2 linked regions of the Bombyx mori genome follow. The protein of the gene in region 2 binds, or shares a complex with, the protein of the main gene of each other region. Links are inferred from orthologs where the notes say so. Each region holds a gene or a part of one and is shown on either strand. Other genes may lie near its edges. The genes, in order: splicing factor 3A subunit 3 and probable ATP-dependent RNA helicase DDX46.

Evidence for each region.
Region 1: probable ATP-dependent RNA helicase DDX46 (region 2) and splicing factor 3A subunit 3 share a complex: the UniProt entries of both Homo sapiens proteins name them as parts of the 17S U2 SnRNP complex. The link is inferred for Bombyx mori from reciprocal best matches to the Homo sapiens genes DDX46 and SF3A3.

Annotation. Positions count from the first base shown.
Region 1 is NC_085112.1:8,790,673-8,794,495, forward strand, and holds part of splicing factor 3A subunit 3, read right to left. Parts: intron 3,556-3,823; coding exon 3,363-3,555; intron 234-3,362; coding exon 32-233; intron 1-31. UniProt on the Homo sapiens protein: Component of the 17S U2 SnRNP complex of the spliceosome, a large ribonucleoprotein complex that removes introns from transcribed pre-mRNAs.
Region 2 is NC_085109.1:10,027,285-10,031,907, reverse strand, and holds the start of probable ATP-dependent RNA helicase DDX46, read right to left. Parts: upstream 2,837-4,623; 5' UTR 2,625-2,836; coding exon 2,611-2,624; intron 2,493-2,610; coding exon 2,265-2,492; intron 2,082-2,264; coding exon 1,940-2,081; intron 1,024-1,939; coding exon 834-1,023; intron 633-833; coding exon 523-632; intron 33-522; coding exon 1-32. UniProt on the Homo sapiens protein: Component of the 17S U2 SnRNP complex of the spliceosome, a large ribonucleoprotein complex that removes introns from transcribed pre-mRNAs.

The sequences.
Region 1 (3,823 bases), on a different chromosome or scaffold from region 2:
GTTGTGAAACAAATTAAGAACGTTAACTTACAAGCAAGGGCATCTTCAATTTGTGTGACATTGGCAAAATGAGCTGTATTCGGTATTCCAAGACATCGCATTCCGTGAGCGTGTCTCCACTCCGCAAAATGTCTCTGAAACGCTTTCGGTCCCTTGTATGTATAGTTCCCGCAAATTTCGCAATTGTAGCTTATATTGAGACCGTGTAACTTGTATAACCAATATGGAATAGGCTGAAATACCATTCTTACATTTATTATTATGGAATATGTAAAAATTATTTATATCTTGTTTTGGAATCTTTTACAGTATATTCTCACTGATCCGGCACTTCACTAGACTGACATGTCCAATAATCTGGCACTCTCCGTCCACGCCTCCCTCGCCCCTCTACGCTTATGCGTATGTAATGCATCAGAAACAGAAGAAACAGGAGAATGAGATCCTGAAGTGATATTCTATCTATTGCCGATTGATTACAAAATCTATCAGAAAGAGGATTGAAGTTGAGTTGAGTGAAGAAGGGATCGAAGAAACAGAGCAAATTATGACAGATGTAGAAATATGCGAAGTAGTACAAGAAGAAGAAACCTTTAAATACAACTGTAAGAGTTAAACCAGATGAAGCATTTAATTGTTTCAATACCTGCATGACATGGGCAGAAGAAAGCGTCATTTCTGCCAAAGGTATTGTTATAATTCTTCTAAACATGCGAGAAGAGGTTGTTAAGCAAGGCAGTGCGTTTCCAGAGATCTTTTTTGCCACGTACCATCCGGCTATGGAATGAGCTCCCCTCCACGGTGTTTCCCGAGCGCTATGACATGTCCTTCTTCAAACGAGGCTTGTGGAGAGTATTAAGCGGTAGGCAGCAGCTTGGCTCTGCCCCTGGCATTGCTGAAGTCCATGAGCGACGGTAACCACTCACCATCAGGTGGGCCGTATGCTCATCTGCCTACAGGGGCAATAAAAAAAAAAAAAAATGATTTTTTCTCTATAATCCAGATTTAACCGAACATTCCATTAATCCAGCACCCTCTGGTTTTTAACAGTTTTTAACAGTACTGAATTAGTGAAATTATACTGTAATTACATTTGGCCAAAATATTTCAGCATCTACCGTTTATGCGATCTTATTAATGTCTATTTGTATACATACATACCTAGTCAGGTCATAAATTCTGTCACATGTTTAATGTAAAATAATTGAAACAATTTATTCATTATGTAACCATTCATATACCAAAATGAACTTAACAAAACATAGATTCTTATGACACTAAAGTTTATTCAAATTGACCTCCGTGATTTTGAATACAGGCCTTCAATCTGCGCGGCCAGTCGTCTATCGCAGCACGAACGAGGTCCATGTCAATATCGGCGGCTGCCTTAATCAAGGATGTCTTGAGTGACTCCAAATTGGGATGAGGCTTTGAGCACGCCTTTTCCTCCAAGTGTTGCCATATCTTGTAATCTAACGGATTCAAATCTGGACTGGAGGAGGGCCAGTCTTCGTGCCGGATGAAGTCGATTTCACGCGCCGCCAGCCAGTCTTGTGTGCTCTTCGCTCTATGAGCTGGCGCCGAATCTTGTTGGAATACCCAGTGCCTGTTATTGAACATGGTATGAGAAACAGGTTCCACAAGGTTCGTCAGGACTGTATTTTGATACACAACTGCATTCGTTTTTACACTTTTCTCACAAAAATGTACCTCTGTTAAGCCCCAATAAGAAACTCCCAACCATACCATGAGCGAGGATGGAAAATGACCTCGTTGGATACGCGGAATACGGTTGCTCGCTTCTTCACTACTGTGTGCGTACACCTTATCATTTTGTTTGTTGTAGCTCTCTTCTACGGTAAAAATTTTTTCATCCGAAAAAAGAATTTCCCGATATTTTTTTCCTGCGTACCGCTTCAACAAAGCGCGGCATCTCTTCAGTCTCAGGTCCATTAGACGAGCATTCAAACGATGTCCTGTTTTTCTTCGATATGCCCGAAGCCCTTTTTTTTTTTTTTTTTTAACGCTGGGGAATCCATTTACGGATACCCGGTCCGGGGGGGTAACGAACCGGGTTATGTCGGACTCCGGCGCCTCCTGAGAGGAAGAGGGGGACGAGAAGGTCCTCCACCTCCCCGAATTTCTCGCAAGAGACTACGCCTTGAAAAAGGCGCGCGAAGCACTTGCCCCGCAGAACGACTACCGACTAAACCCCATCGAGCTCCACCACACCGGCTACACCAGACATACGGTACCGCAGTGCGCGCCGAAAGTCTGCCTTCGCCGGTATCCGTCCTGATGATAAGACGGGATTTCATATCCGGGAAAATCCCGAAGGACGTCATTTCGGGAGATACACCGTGGGCGGCGCACAGGAGCCACCTTGCACCGCTCCACCACCGGACCGACAGTCGAGTACCGGGCGCCCCCGCACCCGCCACCTGATAGTCCCTACGGGGGCTGAGCGGGAGCTTCACGCCCGCGCCGGCCATCCCGCCTTCTGCGCTGAGGTGCTGAAGAGGGATCCCACTCCCTTTCACGCTCCTCAGCGTCACGGGACGCCATTACCAGGTCACAAAACCTGGCCATGGCCTCCCAATGCCCGAAGCCCTAAGTCTTCATTTAACACCCTTTTCACCGTGGTTCTGCTTAACCCCATCTGAAGGGCCAACAGTTTCTACTTACGTTTGGGATTTCTTTGAATTCGCGCCTTCACAGCTTTTATCACTGCTGGAGTCCTAACAGACCGAGGGCGACCACTTCTTGACCTGTCATCTACACTAGAGTCTTCATTGTATCGTTTGATGGTACGATAAACGAATCTTTTGGTTATATTCAAATTTTTCAGTATGTTAAAAATTTGAATTGGCGCGTAACCGCAACGATGCAACGCAATAACTGCAACACGGTCTTCTTTAAGCGTCCACTCCATATTTAAAAATGAGTAAAATTCTAAAAGTATACATTTTTATTTTCATGAACAAATCGAAATTCGAATTCAATAAACTTTTTTGTGGCCAGCATTCTAAAATAAAAGTTTTTACTGTGTGACAATACTTATGACCTGACTAGGTATTTATAAAATTTCGCCTGCATATTTACTTTCTAATTCTGTTGCAGAATTATGCAGTTAATAATTATGAGGTTTCAAAGAAGTTCATGCATATGTATTCAATGCATATTTATTTATAAAACATGAAACAAATCAGAACATTTGAACCTCAACCCCAGTCATAGTTGCATAATTTGATATGAATAGACGCGATGTCTTGCCCCATCAGCCTGTTATTTACTAATACATGAGTAATGTTTACATTCGAACTGTTTTTCACAACTTTAGCAAATAATAATCTAAAACTCACCTTTCCATCCCATCCCAGTGGCAAATTCTTAGGATTATATGGCACTTCATCATCATCTGAATCAAGGTCTGGTGCTGCAGAAGCATCACTTTCGTCACCGCTTTCGTCGCGACGTTCACCAGCAGCTCTTGCAGCACGACGCGTTACATTTTCAATAGTTGATGCTCGTGTACTACTTATTATAGTCGCGAACCTATGGAATTCAATCAAAATAACACCTTCTTATGTTAGTTTCTTTTTAGGGCAAAGAAAGCCTACACTTAATGTATTATCCTGTCTTGTATACACATTAAGCTTTTCCTCATGGCTAACCAAATCAATATCAATTGCATTTGTATCCTACTCTACTATTAGTCCTAGTATCCTATTTACATGCCTAGAGTTAGAGATAAACCTTCTAGTACTGTTCTGGTACAACTTTTCATTATATTAGCTCTACCGTTGCTCCACTCCAGCCTCGC
Region 2 (4,623 bases):
GCTTGGTCCATTTGATTGACTTTACGCACTTCCTACAAAACAAAACGATTTTAGTTTCCAATTATTTTTCAAATGAACAGTAAAGAATTACACAGTATATTATTATATAGTATAAACAAGTACTCATTTTTTTTTTGCATTGCAACTGAAGGCATGACATACTAGGTGTTAAGTGGTTCCTATAGAGATCACAAAGTTAAGGTTTTGTTTTACCTATCTCTCTAACTGAAACATGCAACCTTGTGACAAAAATTGGGAGTATGCTGGAACACAATCTAATCATGAATGACAGCATATCTTATTTAAAAAAATATTACTAGTTTCATTTTTAATACACAATGCTATTCTTTCATCGGGGACATTATTCGTGAACATGTTATAACCGAATATGTCAAAAAATTGCCAGCGTGATTTAAACATCGACATCGTCACATTGGTTGATACAAGTACACCAGACATCGTATCTTTTTCGTCTTCCTGACGACTTCAATTTTTTCAAATAAAATAACTCTATTAACTTACTTGTTGCACTTCTTGCATGTACGCATCCAAAGGATCAATTTCATCTTCTTCTTCTTTCTTTTCTCCTATATTGTTTTTTTCTTTTCCTTCCGCATCTTCACCTGGCAAAGCTGTTAGATTATTTTAACATATGATGTGTTTCTTTTTACACAAAATATTGAGTAGAGGTATTCAGAAAAATCACTTTCTTCACACATTAATGCAAGATTATGAAAAAAAAAACGTTTAATTTTTAGCCAATAAGTTTTCCATGTGTGTGTGAATCTTAAATTTTGGTAAATGATGAATAGATTAGGTTTTGTTTTACTGACCTTCATCACCAGAGTCATCTTCAAGTGACCATTTCTTTGATGTCGGTATTTGTATATTAGTAACAATGCTTCCTTTTTGAACTTCTTTTTTAGCGGATTCGATTTCTTTACGTTTACGTTCAGCCCTCCATCTCTCTATGCGTTCACGACGTTTTTGCATTTCAGCTTCCAAGCGGTTTTGCTCTTCTTCCTACATAAATAATCAAATAAAATGAATAGTAAGTTTTGGCTTCTGCTGCTTATTACACCAGGCAATGAATTGCCATATGATATTAAGCTCTTGTGAAAGAACTACCTAAAGCCTCTAACACCACACCTCAGATGCTTGCCTGTCTCAACAAGGATACTAATCGTAGTATGTGTTAGTGGCTAAGTTTTATTGGGCCATCTAAGATCAAATGAGAATTATCACTTTACGACATTAGCAGCACTCCATTGACAAAGAGATTTCATTGCATGTATGTTTGTAGTTATTATGTATTTTTGATACGTAAATTCTAAATATTCAGTTAAAAGTTGAATGTTGATATAATATAATGCCAAACTGCTTCTGCATCATCTCAAACTCTTACCTAATCAGACTCTTTATAACATTTGCTAATTCATACAGTACAATACAGTACAAACATACAATTTACAGATATTTTATATTTTCTTATTTACGCTGTACCTATCTGTTGTATATGATTTCGATTTTTTGGGTCTCATTTATTTAGCAACAATGCATGACTCTCCTTATTACATAATACAATATACATTTATAAATATGTAGCCTTAAATTGTACATAAGCAAATGCAAAGTAGATGATGTGAAAGCATAAAAAAAAATCAAGTTTTTTACTTTAACTGTGAAGTTATGTATTAAAACCAATACATTGACAAATTTGCAGCTTTTATAGCCCAATAAATATTTCTTCACTAATCACTTCCAACACTATTATACCAGATTGCCACCTATGTTTCTCTGTTATTCAAAGCCCACTGGGTATCAGTCAAATTAAGTTTTTATCCAGATTGTATCTTAGAACTCAACAATTTTAATAAACATTTCAGCAGTTGTTTCAACTGTGTTATTGTGAAAATAAGCAACAACTTAACAAACAAACCTTGTCAACAGAGCCCGGGTTATATTCAGAAGAATCAGCTTTGCTACTCTTTTCCTTTGATTTTGATCTCTCCCTTTCCTTCTCCGGTGACTTCTTTCTCGATGATTTACTAGATCCATTTCTTTTATCATCTCTTTTATCACTGAATGAACTTAGATAAATTAGCAACACGCCTCAATTTAGCTTTAATAAAACATTTTAACAAAATGTATTATTTGAATAAATATAATTTTATAAACTGTACTAACGCTAACAAAAGAGTCTTGTGACTTAAATTAAAATATTTAACTTTTTATTTTGAGGTTATTAATTACTCAAAGTTTACCTTTTTCTGTCCCGATCTCGCTCACGACTACGATCTCTTTCCCTACTGCGATCCCGTTCTCGGCTTCGGTCTCGTTTAGAGTCACGATCTCTGCTACGACTGCGCTTCCTCTTTGAAGATTTCGAGCCCCGATCACGACTTCTTGATCTTGACCTCCTTCGTTTACGATCCGGTGTGTCAGAACGACTTCGAGATCTACGTCGATCCCTTTCCCTATCACGGTCTCTCCTAAAAGAAACAAAATTGTATTGTGAAAACTTTCGAACGCTAGCACATATTGAATAAGCTTCAAGAACGTTTACAGGTTAATGATTCAAGTAGTTCGTTTACAAACATCGACACTCACCCACTCCTAACCATTTTTTAAAGCAAATATAAAGAGATTTTTACACGTTTTATTTTTCTCATGCCTAAATCAACGGTGCCTTACTTAATACTAATAAAAGATTCTTGAAACAAAATGAGCTGTGAAATTTGGTTCGATTGCTATGAGATAAAAGTACGCATAACAAAATCACAAAGCGCTCGCTTGCATCCACGGATTCTACATTTGACAGTTGACTTTTTAATTTATTTATTTTTAGGGATTTTATGACCTGGTAACCAAGACCTTTAAGTCGTGTCTTCTTTTAATTTATATTTTTATTTTTATAAAAAATGATAATATAGAGTGGAATGAAATAAAGACAATTAATATGAGACTTTAATCAGCTGGGATGAAATTTAAATGAAAGAAGATGAGATGCTAAGGGATAAAATATAATTTCAGTAAAATGATGGTAATTTGCTGAGTTTTTTTCAGTGGACCTTCTGGAAGATCCCGAGATGTTATGTCCAGCGACTTCATTTCATTTACCCACATTTGTGCACTTTCACAGACATTAAACAGTTAATAAACCACCGTTATTATACATTTAAACCTGAAGAAACACTAAATAGACAAAATAAAACAAATCACACAACTTCACTCCTCGCGTTCCCGCCAAAAAAAACCTTGACTTTTTAATAGGTTGATAAAGATTGCTAGATTGAGTTTCTAAATTTACCTGGATTAAAATTTTCATATCTTCAAAATATAACATTTTGCAACCAAGCAAATCGAATGACAAAAATCGGTTTATTAAGAAAATTAACTCATATAATTTTTTTAACCAATACTGTCTAAGCCTATTCGTTGCAAATTTTACAATCGAGCTGAATTGACTTTCCGATGGGATGAAAACCTAACAGTAGTATCTCTTGGCCCACCACACGCTAATCTAACCATCTACTTTGATAAATGTGGCGAAAGTCTCAAAATACTGCTACACAGATATACCTACTCTTCAAACCTCGAACGTTTCGCGACAGAATTATCTGAGCTTTACGCATCTTACAAATTCTGCTAAACGTCGATTCCGTATTTAAAAAAAATGTGGTTCGGATATTACGTCCCACTCTATATCTAATGATCCAACAGCTTACTACTCGACTCATACCATCAGCCTTTAGCGGTTGATATCGACTTTAAGCTATGCAGATATTGGCTTGCGAGTAACGTGAATATCACTGTTCATCTTAAATTTAATTTCCACAAAGGTGGTTCAAGTTCAAGATTTAAGCAGCAGTAAAATTAAAAAACGTAAAAAGTCGATAATTGAAACCTTTAAAAAAATCATCGACTATTTGAAAATAGAGAGAGTTTAGTACCGAGACAACACTATTCATGGATGTTTTGTGTACAAATCGAAACACGAAAACCAAAAGATAACCTAATACATTCAACCGACATCATTGAAAATACAATTTAAAAATAGCGACTACTTTAACAAGACATAAAACAAGCTATTTTCATAACAATATCTAGAAATGGCAGACGATACTGAAAATGTAAGTGTTTGATTTAAAAATTTAAAAACATCGAAATTGTTTCAATACCTTTTATTTTTATTTCATTATTTTAGGTAGCTGTTATGACCGTAAAAGAACCTTTGGATTTGATAAGGCTTAGCTTAGATGAGAGAATTTATGTTAAAATGCGTAATGAACGAGAGCTCAGAGGCAAACTGCATGTAAGTACATTTACAATATGAAACGCTTTTAAATTTCTTATTTTGCTAATTTAAACCTATTGACTCGAATAATGTACTACTTCTGAACACGACAATAGTAACAAGTTATTGAATTGATGAAAACGTAAGTTTGGTTTTATTAAATTAGCCATGTACTTAAACCTATTTCCTTGGTTAGGCCTATGATCAACATCTGAATATGGTATTAGGAGATGCCGAAGAAACTATAACAACCGTTGAAATCGACGAAGAAACATACGAAGAAGTGTACAGAACTACAAAACGAACTATTCCTATGTTATTTGTAA